Canis lupus familiaris: one gene and its partners. The protein of the gene in region 3 interacts with the protein of the main gene of each other region in a pairwise test. Links are inferred from orthologs where the notes say so. Each region holds a gene or a part of one and is shown on either strand. Other genes may lie near its edges.

Region 1 (4,094 bases), on a different chromosome or scaffold from region 3:
GCGCAGGGCAGGTGCGGGGGCTGCAGGGTAGGTGCGGGGGGGGCGCAGGGGGGCTCGCGGGGGGGCCGCTCCGAGGGAGGACACTCGCGTCCTCGGCGGCCCGGCACCCGCGGCGGGGGCGGGGGCGGGGGCGGGGGCGGGGGCGGGGGCGGGAAGCCCGGGCGGCGCTGGGGGCCGCCTCTGCGCGGAGCGAGCGGGAGCCGCCGCCCGGCCGCCGCGTCACCGAGCCGGGGCGGGAGCGGGAGCCGGCGCGGGAGCGGGAGCGGGAGCCGGCGCGGGAGCCGGGGCGCGCGGGGAGGCGCCGAGGCCCGGAGCCGCCGCAGCCGCGCAGCCGCGCATCCGCCCAGCCGCGGGTCGCCGCGCCCCTGGGGCCCGGGCCGGCGGCGGGAGCAGCAGCGGGGGCCGGAGCGCCGCGGGCCGCCCCCACCCCCACCCCGCCCCCGCCCCCGCCCCCGGAGCACCGGCCCCGCGCGCCGCGGGCGGCGGGAGGAGCCCGCACGGCCCGGCCCTTTGTCCCGCTCGCAGCGGCGGCTCGGGCCGGAGCGCGCGGGCGGGCGCGGGTCGGGGCCCCGGCGGACTCGCATCGGAGCCCCGAGGCTTCGGGGGAGCCCGCGGGCAGGTCGCGGGGGCCGGCGAGGACGGCGGCGCGGGCCGGGGGCGGAGGACCGGGGCGCCCCCTCGGGTGGCCGCGCTCTCCTTGACGCCTCTCCCGCTCGGCGGCGGCTGCGGCGGGTGTCGTCGGAAGAGGGGGCGGGCGAGGAGCGCGGGGGCGGGGGCAGCGGAGGCTCAGCCCGCGGCCCGCGCCGCCCTCCGCGCCCGCGAGCCCCGCACCTGCGCGCCGGGGCCACCTGCCGCCGCCCGCGCCCCGCAGCGCCCCGCAGCGCCCCGCAGCGCCCCGCAGCGCCCCAGCGCCGGGCTCCCCGGGGGCCGCAGGCTGCGCACCGGGGCGCTCCGCCCGCCCAGCCCGGCCCGGCCCGGCTCATTGTGCGCCGCGCTCCTGGGGGCGGGGAGGGAGCCGCGCCGCCGCCGCCGCCGCCGCCGTGGTCGCTCGCGCGGCGCGCAGGGCGGGCGGAGGCAGGGCAGCCGAGGCGCTCGAGCCTCCCCGCCCGCCGGCGCTCGGGGCTCCCCTCGGCCGCGTTCCCCGGACCTGCCCGCTGCGCCCGGAGGGCCCCGGCACCATGGCGTGACGCGCCCCCGCGCCTCGGCCGGCCCGCGCCCCCCGCGCAGGCCCCCGCGCCAGGCCCCCGCGCCCGCGGCGCTGCGGACCCCGAGCACCCTCAGCAACCAGCCCGGGCGGCGGCACGACTCGCTCTCGCCAACCTCATGGGCAGTGGCTCCCGCCGGCGATGTGAGTAGCGCGCTCCTGCTTCGTGGCCCGGGGGGGGGGGGCGGGGGGCTGCGGGGACGCCGAGCGCCCGAGGTGCGGGGCTGGGGCGCCCCGGGGCGCTGTCGGGGAGCTGCCGGCCGGGCGCCCGCGGAGGCGGCGGGGAGCTGCGCGCTTGCGGGGCGCGCGGTGCCTTGGGCGCGGGCGCCGGCCGTGCGGGCGCCTGGGAGCCCCGGTGGCCCGGGCTGCCGGGGACCCTAAAGGGTTACATACTGCGAAAAGGGGAGGCGAGGAGCGAGGGCTGGGCGCGGGGGGCGCGGGGGGCGCGGGGAGCGCGGGTCCGGCCGGGCCGAGCCCCCGCCGTTATCCGGGCGAGGTGCTGCCTCCTCGCAGGTGCCCGAGGGACGGAGCGCCCATTTGGCCGTGCCCCCCCCCCCCCCACGCACACTTGTGGCAGGTCGCAAATGTCCCTTTATCTCGGCAGGTGTAGTATTACTGTTGGATGCCCGTTGGCTTGGGAAAGGCAATTAAGAGGATCTCGCTGCCTTTGGGACTGGAGGGGAAGGGTGGGGTTGGAGGGGGCTGGAGGGGGCGACGAGGGCGACAGGTTGGAGGGCCGAGGAAGCGGGGGAGCCACGGAGCCCGGGCAGTGGGGGTGCCTGTGCCCCCCCCCAGCCCCCGGAGCCGGGCAGCTCCTGCCCACACACCTCCTTTGTGTTGCAAAGGCGGAGCTGGAGACCCCGCGCGGTGCCCGGACCCACGCTGGGCCCCCTCCGCATCTCGTCCCCCGAGAGCCCCGAGGGATGCGGGACTCGTTGGGGATCCTCGGCGGCCGGGGGGGGGGCAGCGGGGGCAGGAGGTGCCCTGGGGCTCCTGGAGCGGCTCGCGCTCGTCTGCAGCCTCCGCGCGCGGGGTCCCCCCTGCGGGGAGCGGCCGGGGCCGGGGGCGCACGGGCTGCCGCGAAACATAGCGCGAGTTCGCAGGGGCGACGGCCGCACAGGTGCCTCCTCCGGCTGCTCCTCGGCCCGGGGCGGGGGGCGGGGGGCGGGGGGGGCGGCTCCGCCCGCCGAGTCCCGAGGGCGCAGCGCCCGGCGCACGGACCGGGTCGCTCGCGCAAGTCCCGGGATGCGCGATGGGCCTCGGAGCGCAGCCACCTGCGACTCCCACGCGCCTCTGGAAGTTCCCCTCCCCGAGGAGTTAGAGACGCCGCGGGCGGGGGCGGGGGGCGGGGCGGCGACCCCCAAGGGCCCGCACCTGCCCTCCGCGGCCACTTTGCCTCCGCGCGGGGAGCACCTGGGAGCCACCTGCGCTGCGAACTGGGTCGGACCCGACCCGGGGACCCGCGGCCGGGAGCGGTTCTACGTGATCCCGTTTTAACCTTGGCGACGCTTCCAAGCCCGGTGGAGGTTTCCGTGGCGTGGGCGGCGGGAGCGCATTCCGGCGGAGGCAGGACACGTGATCGCCCCGACGGGAGAGGCCGGTCCGGGCGCCCGACTCTCTTTGTTCCGGGCTGAGCCCCGCGCCCGCCCCCCGCAGCTCGGGCCCGCGGCCCAGGGGGGCTGGAGGGGCTGCCCCCCCGCGGGGCCCCGGTGGAAGCCAGGCGGTCCTCCCGGGGACGCGGCGGAAAAGTTCTGCAGCCCCTGCGCACGTGGGCTCCCGGCGCGCTCCGCCACCTGCCGGCCGCGCCCGGCCACCTGCCCCCACCGCCCGGGACGCCCGGGCTCGCTCTGCCAAAGGCTGCAGACGGGGGTCGGGGTCGCGTCCCTGCTTCCGAGCATCCTTCGGCGCATCCTTCAGCGCCCGGGGCGGGCTGGAGACGAGGGGGCGGGGGGGTAGCCCTAGTTCTCCGCCCACCTGTGTGTCGAGGTACCAGACCTGGAGGCCCCGACCTGGAGTCTCCGACGTGGTGGCCCCCCACCTGGAGGCCCTCACTGGGAGGTTCCCCACCTGGAGGTTGCCACCTGGAGGCTCCCCACCTGGAGGCCCTCACTTGGAGGTCCCCACCTGGAGGTCGCCACCTGGAGGCCCCCCACCTGGAGGCCCTCACTTGGAGGTCCCCACCTGGAGGTCCCCACCTGGAAGCTCCCCACCTGGAGGCCCTTACTGGGAGGTTCCCCACCTGGAGGTCCCCTGGAGGCCCCCACATGGAGGCCCCCACATGGAGGTCCTGACCTGGAGTCCCCGACGTGGTGGCCCCCACCTGGAGGCCCTCACTGGGAGGTTCCCCACCTGGAGGTTGCCACCTGGAGGCCCCCCACCTGGAGGCCCTCACTGGGAGGTTCCCCACCTTGAGGTCCCCTGGAGGCCCCCACATGGAGGTCCTGACCTGGAGTCCCCGCCGTGGTGGCCCCCACTTGAAGGCCCTCACTGGGAGGTCCCCACCTGGAGGCCCCCACCTGGAGTCCCCGACGTGGTGGCCCCCACCTGGAGGCCCCCACCTGGAGGCCCTGACCTGGATGCCCGCCCCCCTGACCTGGAGGCCCCGATCTGGGGGCCCCCCACCTGGAGGCCGCTGATTTCGTTTTTCCGCCCGTGTTGTACTTGCCGCCCCCGTGGGCTGAAGTCTCGCCCGGGGCGGGCCTGCATCGTGTCTGCGTGGCGCTGGGAAGCGCAGCCCATCCCCGTGACATATTGTGGAGGGAGACTTCTTTATACATTTTTTTATACTTCGCTGTCCAAGAGAGGATGGGTGCTTACCATGGCAACCCTTACATCCTCCATCACGTGTGCCTGCACATATGCGGCTTCAGAATTAGAAACGACTCCTTAA
Region 2 (4,291 bases), on a different chromosome or scaffold from region 3:
GAAAGTACAAAGCAGAAACAAGGTAAAAGCACTTTGGGCATCCTTGGGTACATGGAAACTTGCTGTTATCAAACCAAGGGACCAACTGCAGAGTTTGCAAGAACTGATAACAGCTTATTGAGAAATGCCAAACATTTGCATGGTACACGCTTAGGAAGCTCAGTTGTCCTTTGCACACTCCTTCAACCCAAAGAGCAAAAGATGTTCATAATGTTGACATGCTTGTTCTCCACTTGCTATCAACTGGGTTGTTGGTAGTTTTCACACTCAAAATGTAATACAGAACAAGTAACTTTACCACCCATGAAAACTAGTTTCCAATTAAATAGGAGAAGCCAAGTAACCCTAGTCTAATATCTTTTCCCCAAGTATGTCCAGAGCACTGATGGACTTAGAGGTAAAACAAAGTTACAGTTTAACACTGACGTTTAATGTGAGGAAATCCATGAATATAGGTCTGAAATCAACCCTTTGGCTAATAATGGTTTGAAATCATGAGTTAAATGCAAATTCAATCCTGCTATATAATCATCTTGCAACTTCAAGAACAACCTGTGGGAGCTTGTTGGGTTAACAGAAGGTTGAGAAGGCCAGTGTGCCAGCTTGCAGTTTTCTCTCTGCAGTTAGCTCACTTCTGAACGCCAACTATTGTGCCCTTTGCAAAAAGGATCTCCCAATATTTTCTCATCTTCACAATGCAAAAGCAGAGGTTTAGGGTGGCTTGCTGTCTGGGAGTGAGAACCCAAACACTCACAATAATCACTAATAATTCAAGTAGGATGAGATGCCTACAGATCTTTTCCTAATTTGAAATTTCATGCATATCAACTAGAAAAGCTACTTCAAAATTCAAATTGTAATGGAAAAATAACTACAGATACTACATGGTGCCTTTTTTTTTTTTTTTTCCCAACCTCATAGTGATAAAGACCAAACTGGTAGGGGGGGAGGGTGTAACATAATACTGCTTTAAGATTTTAAAAATCAGTCAGAAACCTACAGTGTTCAGGGAAACCAGCTAGTGCTCAGAAATAATGACCATTTATTAGATGTCCACAAAGAGTTATTGTAAAAAGAAACTTGTAAATATGTCTGGGCACTAGGTACTGAAACTGCAATGAGAGATATAATATGAACAATGGAAAGCATTTAAGTTTTCACAGATTTAAAACTAAAATGGCTTCCTGAAGAAGTGGCTCTTTGAGCTAGTTATGCATGAGAAGAGTTAAAAAGTGGCCTGATGAGGGATGCCTGGATGGCTCAGCGGTTAAGTGCCTGCCTTCAGCCCAGGGCGTGATCCTGGAGACCTGGGATCAAGGCCTACTTCGGGCTCCCTGCATGGAGCCTGCTTCTCCCTCTCCCTAAGTCTCTGCGTCTCTGCCTCCCTCCCTCTCTCTCTCTCTCTCTCTGTGTCTCTCATGAATAAATAAATAAAATCTTGAAGAAAAAAAAAAAAGTGGCCTGATGGTGAGATGCTGTGTAGGAGGGAAAAAGCCTATCTACGACAGGTTGGGAACAAGGTGAAGAGGAAGGAGCCCTTCAAAAAAATTAAAAAAAAAAAAAAGAAAAAAGAAAAACAACACATGAAAAAAAAAAAAAAAAAAACTTGTAAAGAATGGCGATTAATATCTACCGAGCACTTCCTATGAGCCTGGCCTTTCCCCTCTGACTTGGGTCCTAGATAGAAGCAGGGGAGGAAACAGACTCAGCAAAATAAGTCCCCAACGTCTAAGGTTGGTAAATGGATTAGAACTCAAATCTCACCACCACTTTATCTCGCCGGGCTCCCTCCACTACTTCCTCTTCAAAACGCACTCTGGGGCTCAGAGATCCAACTCTTAGGAACTGCACACTGAGAACGTCTGACACGTAAGTGTTTTCATCAGTGTATTTCACTTAAAAAAAAAAAATTCTAACATCCAGACACCGAGAAGCTGGATAAAACAAAGTCGGGAGAGAGGGAGGAAGGAATGCATTTAACCTAACAAAAACAGCTAAAAAACAAAAAACAAACAAAAACCCCCAGAAAACTAGCGGAGCACAATTAAAAATGGTTGCCCATCACTCACAGCAAGGAGCAAAGGTGGGTCTTACCTTCCTATCAAGGCCAGAAGGAAATCGGACTCTAACTTCTAACCTTTTTTTGGGTGGGGGGAGGGTGTTCCAATCGCAACCTAAGTTCTTGGGCGTGCCGGCCGGCTAGGGGACGGGAGGGCTATTCTGTTTTGCTGCGAGGGGCATTTCTGGGCAAGCGGAAGGGTCCACGTTGAGAGCAAGCGGAGAGCCGCAGGAACGGCCGTCGGAGGCGCGGGGCCCGCGGAGAAGCGGCTCCTCGTCCCCCAGCGCCCGCCCGGGGACGCCGGCGAAGCGGCCACACTTCGCGGAGGGGATCGGCGCCCGCGGGCTCGGCCCCCGGAACAGCCGCCCGGGGCCCCGCCGGCCCGCCGCGTCCGCACGGAGCGCGCCCCCCGCCCCCCGCCCCCGCCCGCCGCCGCCCCCCGGCCGCGAACCCGCCGACTCAGGCCGCAGCCCGGCGGGGCCTGGCTCCGGGTCCGAGCCCCCGCGGCCCGGGCCGGCCGGGAAGGCGCCGCGCCCGGGCCCGCGACCGTTACGGGGCCGCGCCGCGCCCAACGCCCGCCCGGCTCGGCGCTGCGCACCCGCTCACCTTCTTGGGGTCCGGGTTCGCGGCCAGGCGCGCCTGCAGCTTCTCCACAACTTGGAGCGCCGACTCCGCCGCCATCGCTGTCACTGGCGCGGCCTCCTCGCCGGAACTGGGCTCGCGTCGCGTCCTCGGGCCGCGGCTCCGCCCTCCGTGCATCCCCGGCGGAGACGGAAGCGACGGGCCCCTTCCGGGCCTCGGCGGCGGGGCGAGGCGGGGCGCGGGGCGCGGGGCGCGGGGGAGCGGAGGGGGGCGGCCGGACGCAGGCCACGCCCCCAGGGCCCGGGAGGGGGGAGGGGCGGCCTCAGGCCACGCCCCCAGGGCCCGGCGCGGGGGGGCGGGGGCGCAGGGGGAGGGGGCGGCCGGCCGGCTGCAGGCCACGCCCCCAGGGCCCGGCGCGGGGGGGCGGGGGGGCCGGCTTCCCAGCACCGGCTCGGCAGCCGCGTGGGCGGGGACGCGCGGGCCGGGGGGGGCTGCTCCGCTTCGGCCCTCGGCGCGGAGCCCCAGCCGAGCCAACCTCTCCGCCGTCGGGTTCCGACGGAATGCGGCTGCCGCGCCAGGCGCCGTCCTACCCTCGCCACGCCCCGCCTCCCACCTGTCCGCGGGGCTGGGGCCCGCCCACCCGGGTCGCGACCCGCCCACCGGGGGCCGAGCGCCGCGAGCGCAGGTGCGGGGTCCCTGTATTCCACCCTCAGTGCCACCCGGTGAGACGGGTTCAGTTATCCCCATTTTACAGATGAGGAAACAGGCTCAGGGAGCCCACATTAACCCGCTTGTGGTCACACAACAGGAAAGAGATGAAGCTGGCATCGGAGTCTAAATGGTTTACCTTCACCATGAGGGCACCTCGCTGAGTAGGTCGAGGAATTGAGGGCCAGAGGGAGGCAGGGATTTGTCAAAAGTCAAACAGCTTAGCTACGTGAGGCAAGATAATAGCCTTGTGTCTCGCTCTCCCCCAGAGCAGTGTCTGGTACCTAGGCACCAAATAAATTCATCTTGAGTGAACAGATGAATGGCTGTTTCCCTGAAGCAGTAAGGGCTGAATCAGACCAGCACAAGACATCATCCTAGAAGCACTAAATAATACTATATTACTAATAAAAGAACAAAGAAACCGTTGAAAACTAAAATTATCAGCATTGATTACATCTCGCTTGATTGGATCACATTAGATCCTAAGCCAATCTCCAGCAGCAACTTGGCGATGTACTTAGCCTGATCTCTCACCCTCTCACTCAATATGGGAAAGCCCAGAGAGCCTTCCAGATCCCAGGTCCTGACAAAGGGTGGGAGGGGAGAATAGTTTCTTCAAATGAGCTTTCATTCACTCACTGTGCTGAGAAGCCCTCCCTACTGTATTCCCACCACTCAGCTTGGTATCCCTCCCTCTGCAACTGACCCTTTTCAGGGTGTAGGTAGCCAATTTATTCTTCTGTCTTGCCACCGTGCTGTTCATCAAGTGCACTGACCAACCTGTCCAGCTTTAAATCTCTGCTGCACAGCACAATACAGATGTTATAATCGACAGTGGATTAAAAAGTCCATAATGACCCCTCACTTGTGGGGTGTAACAGAAAAGGCATGACGCAGGGTTTGAGGAGACTTGGCTTCTGGTCCTGGTCCTAGAGCCGC
Region 3 (3,774 bases):
GCAAAAATATCGAAAAAGAATAAAGATAGCAAACATCTCTCAGCAATAAATTAGGTCCTGGGGATGACCTTGAAGCTGAACCAGGATTGCCTATTCTTTCTGGAGCTCTGAATTTTTTTAAGGGCACTTCTAGACACCTCTTCTGGGCAAGAGCCTGTGCTATACAGGTACAGGCAACAGATCCGCCCAGTGATAGATACTAATGTGCTGCCTTTTAAAGTTTTTGTTTTTAAATTTTTTTAAAGGTGTATTTATTTTAGAGAGCAAGCACATGTGTGCATGTGAGCAGGGAAGGGAGAGAAGGAGAGAATCCTCATGGAGAGGCCCTACTGAGTATGGAGCCTGATCTCACAACCCATGAGATCATAACCTGAGCGGGAACCAAGAATCGGACACCTAACCGACTGAGTCATCCAGGCACTCCAAGTTTTTGTTTTTTTTAATCTACCTCAGTATATCCTGCTGCTTTACAAAAAAAAAAAAAAAAAGGAGTATACTAAATCAGAATGTTAATGGATTTGGCTCCATTAATCTCTAAACCATGGAAGTGGCAAAGTGGAGGAGAGAGAAATAATTTTATTTTTGGCCTTTTTATTATTATTCTAGCAATTTGGGGCTTCCACTTTTATTTCTAGATGGTTACCCGTTGATATCAATAATCAAGTCAGTTAAAGACCAGGGTCCCTCTGTCCCCAAGACAGATCCTATAAAGAGAGGGAAAAGTCTCAATTACAGACACAAATTGAACCAACACCAAAAAGATGAAAAATTAGTCTCTGTCAAGCTAGGCAGGAGGGAGTCTCAGGTTTGTAAAACCAAACCTGGAACCTACCTGCACCCACCTTCTGAACAGTAGAAACTATCCCTCTTCTCTATCTCTCCATAACCTAATTCTACTTTTTAAAAGGACATTCCCCCTAATTCCCACATCCAATAAATATCCAATCTAAATTACTCTCCACCCAATTATTAAACTTTTCACAAGCTCCATGGGGAAGATTTACCCTGAGACAAATAGTGAACAGAATGGGGATTTTGGAAAAAGATTTAAGAAGTACAAGGCAAGATGGTCCCAGTATCAAAAATGAAAACTTTCTGCTACCTGTGCAACTCAGTAACGAGGAAGGTAAAAGATACAGTCAAGTTGGTGTGCGTTAAGGAAATACTTGTGATGAGACTGGGACATACTAAGACTCATAGCTATATTATGGCATGGACTTGTGCTCAGAGAGAAGAGGTGCGAAGCAGCCTTACATTCTAGGGAAAATGGTGGGATTGGGGGATGCACTGTAATCATCAACTGAATCAAAATTCTTTACTCCTCCTTTCCAATCCTCCTATAGATGTGGGGCCAAGGTCTGGCCTCTCCATAGTACACTAAGGGAAAAGAACAGCAGACTTGAAGAGACCAAAAGTCTTTTCCCAGCTCATGGACCAGATCCTTAGCACTGTCTTCATTGAGACTAGAACCCTGATTTCTGCCCATCCAATCCCCACCTTTCTCTTTGGGTCCTATGGTCATCGTCCCTGGTCCACCCTCACTACATTCCCAATCCCCCAACCTCAAGAACACAAAGCTTTTCAGTTCTTTGCCACAAGGTAATTTAAAAAATGTGGTTTCTTTAAACAGTTACTAAGTTGGTTCATCTTTTAGTAACAGACCTTCCCTCCCCTAGTCCCCTCGACTCAGTCCTGTATGATCACATCATCATCGTCATCGTCATCTTCCTCCTCCTCCTCCTCTTCATCCTCATCATCTTCTGGCAGTTCTTCCTCCTCCTCTTCCTCCTCTTCATCTAGACAAACCACCACCTCAGCTGGCTCAGGTAATCGAGAGTCAAACCAATCCAGTACCTGCTGGGTGCTAAGCCTTGATGCCTGACTCAGTTGAGGGATATCACTTTCCCGTAGCTGTTGGTGGGCTGCCCAATACCTCTCCAAGGGTCGTATATCCGGTGGGGGTGGGGGGTTTGGCAGAGGTGGTGTCTCAGCCCATTCATTCAAGGATCGGGTTGAAGGTGGGGGTGTGGGAATTGCTGGGTCCTGGAAACTAGGGACACCAGGTACTGCATTGTCCCGAAACCATTTTAGTTGCCCATGCTTCAAGGCATAGCGTGTGTCACCAAACCACTGAATAATCTCAGGCCGAGGTAAACCAGTGATCTGTTCTAATTTATGGTAATCCTCACGCCGTGCCCACTGGCACTGTAAAAAAAAGGATTTGAGGATAGCCAGCTGCTCTTTGGTTTTGCGTTTGGTCTTTCGCTGGCGTTGCATATCTGGGGAAAGGTACTCTGCAGGGCCAACCCTACCTGGTACTGAGTTATGTCTTAGCCCCTGAGGCCAGGCTGGCTCCAGATGTGGGGGCAGTGCCTGTTCATTGGGTGACAGTGGCTGTGAGATACAGCCCAGTGACTGGAGGGGTTTAGAGGTGGCAGTAGCTCCATTAGCCAGTACCGGGAAAGTGGAAGAAGAGGTAGAGGAAGAAGAAGGAGTCATATTAGATACTGACTCCTGCTTACAACTACTAGTAAGTAGTGAGATTGGGGGGGGCTTTTCCCGAGCACATGGCTGGTGGACAGCTGTGGAGTGGTTCCAGGAAGCAGAATCTAGCCCATGTGACTGGTTGGGACCCCTGCCTGACTGCCCCTTAGAGAGGCCACTGCTTTGAAGATTCTGCCAAAAATCTGATTGGTGGGGGAATGCCCCACTGCCAGGTGCAATCAGGGGTTCCTTTGCCTTCTGCTGACTCAGCAGCTCTGAGGACTCCTCAGGCTCTACCTTCAATCCTTTCATCTGAGTGGGCTCACTAAGAGTCAGGGGCACTATTCCAAGACCCATTTGTTCTGGAGGTGGCATTGAAGAAGGCACCTCCTCTGGGGGCCGCCCTGCATGATGAGTAAAAGACAGAAGGGATTTGAAATGGAGCTGGTCCCGATGGTAGACCACTCGGGCTCGAGTCTCTTCTATTTCTTCAGATGACCAGCTAATGCCACAGCGGAGGCGCTGGGCCATGAACCAAGTCTTGACTTTCTCCATCTGCAGCCCATAGCGTAAGCAGAGAAGGGCAATGTCTGCTAGACTGGGATAGGGAAAGTAGCTGAAGGTTTGTAGCAAGTGTTCATTGCCATCCAGCTCACTGGTCTGGGCTGCTTGGGTCCACACAAGCTGTAGCTCCTCGGAGATTGGAGGGAGGCAGATGAGCCCCGCCGGGGAGCTATTAAGACTGCTGGCCTCTTTATTAGGAGGCATGGTGTTTTCTGATTTGTGCCCTTCAGAGATAGCTGTAATAAGAAGAGAAACAGCTCAATCACTGGGGCTCCTCTTTCAGCCCATTGTTCAATTTCTGCCAAACAAAATGTTGGACTCCAATTCAATCGTCTATGTGTACCGTGTTGAATTGCCTTTACAGTGCTTTAATAATTTCTCATTTAATTTTCCTAACTTTATGAGCCTGTTATAATTCCTGTCATATGTATGGAAAAAACCAAAGTCCCATAGAAGTTAATTTAACCCCAAGTGACACGACTGGTGTATATTGTCACCAGGACAAAACTCTGTCTTTAGAGGTTAAGGAGGAAAATTCATCCTTATATTGCCTTTATTTTTCTAATTCAAACTCACTTCACCCTCAAAGTTCACAAGAGTCACAAAATGAAAACTCAACCACAAAAACCATGGGGTGCAGTAATCTCAGAACTGATGCAAATGCTTTAGCTCCTGACAATTTATGATTACCTCTAAAATGTGAAGACGAATGAGGAATACAAGAGG

What was found. The genes of interacting proteins can lie anywhere in the genome.
Region 1: the proteins of HOMEZ (region 3) and LRRC7 interact in a two-hybrid assay, tested with the Homo sapiens proteins (2 studies listed by BioGRID). The two-hybrid records come from large-scale screens. The link is inferred for Canis lupus familiaris from reciprocal best matches to the Homo sapiens genes HOMEZ and LRRC7.
Region 2: the proteins of HOMEZ (region 3) and ELOA interact in binary tests that used the Homo sapiens proteins (3 or more experiments, as listed by UniProt). The two-hybrid records come from large-scale screens. The link is inferred for Canis lupus familiaris from reciprocal best matches to the Homo sapiens genes HOMEZ and ELOA.

The regions. Positions count from the first base shown.
Region 1 is NC_049227.1:76,610,068-76,614,161, reverse strand, and holds the start of LRRC7 (leucine-rich repeat-containing protein 7), read left to right. Parts: upstream 1-1,241; 5' UTR 1,242-1,346; coding exon 1,347-1,348; intron 1,349-4,094.
Region 2 is NC_049223.1:75,138,152-75,142,442, forward strand, and holds the start of ELOA (elongin-A), read right to left. Parts: upstream 2,854-4,291; 5' UTR 2,819-2,853; coding exon 2,666-2,818; intron 1-2,665. UniProt on the Homo sapiens protein: SIII, also known as elongin, is a general transcription elongation factor that increases the RNA polymerase II transcription elongation past template-encoded arresting sites.
Region 3 is NC_049229.1:3,667,791-3,671,564, forward strand, and holds the end of HOMEZ (homeobox and leucine zipper protein Homez), read right to left. Parts: intron 3,285-3,774; coding exon 1,687-3,284; 3' UTR 572-1,686; downstream 1-571. UniProt on the Homo sapiens protein: May function as a transcriptional regulator.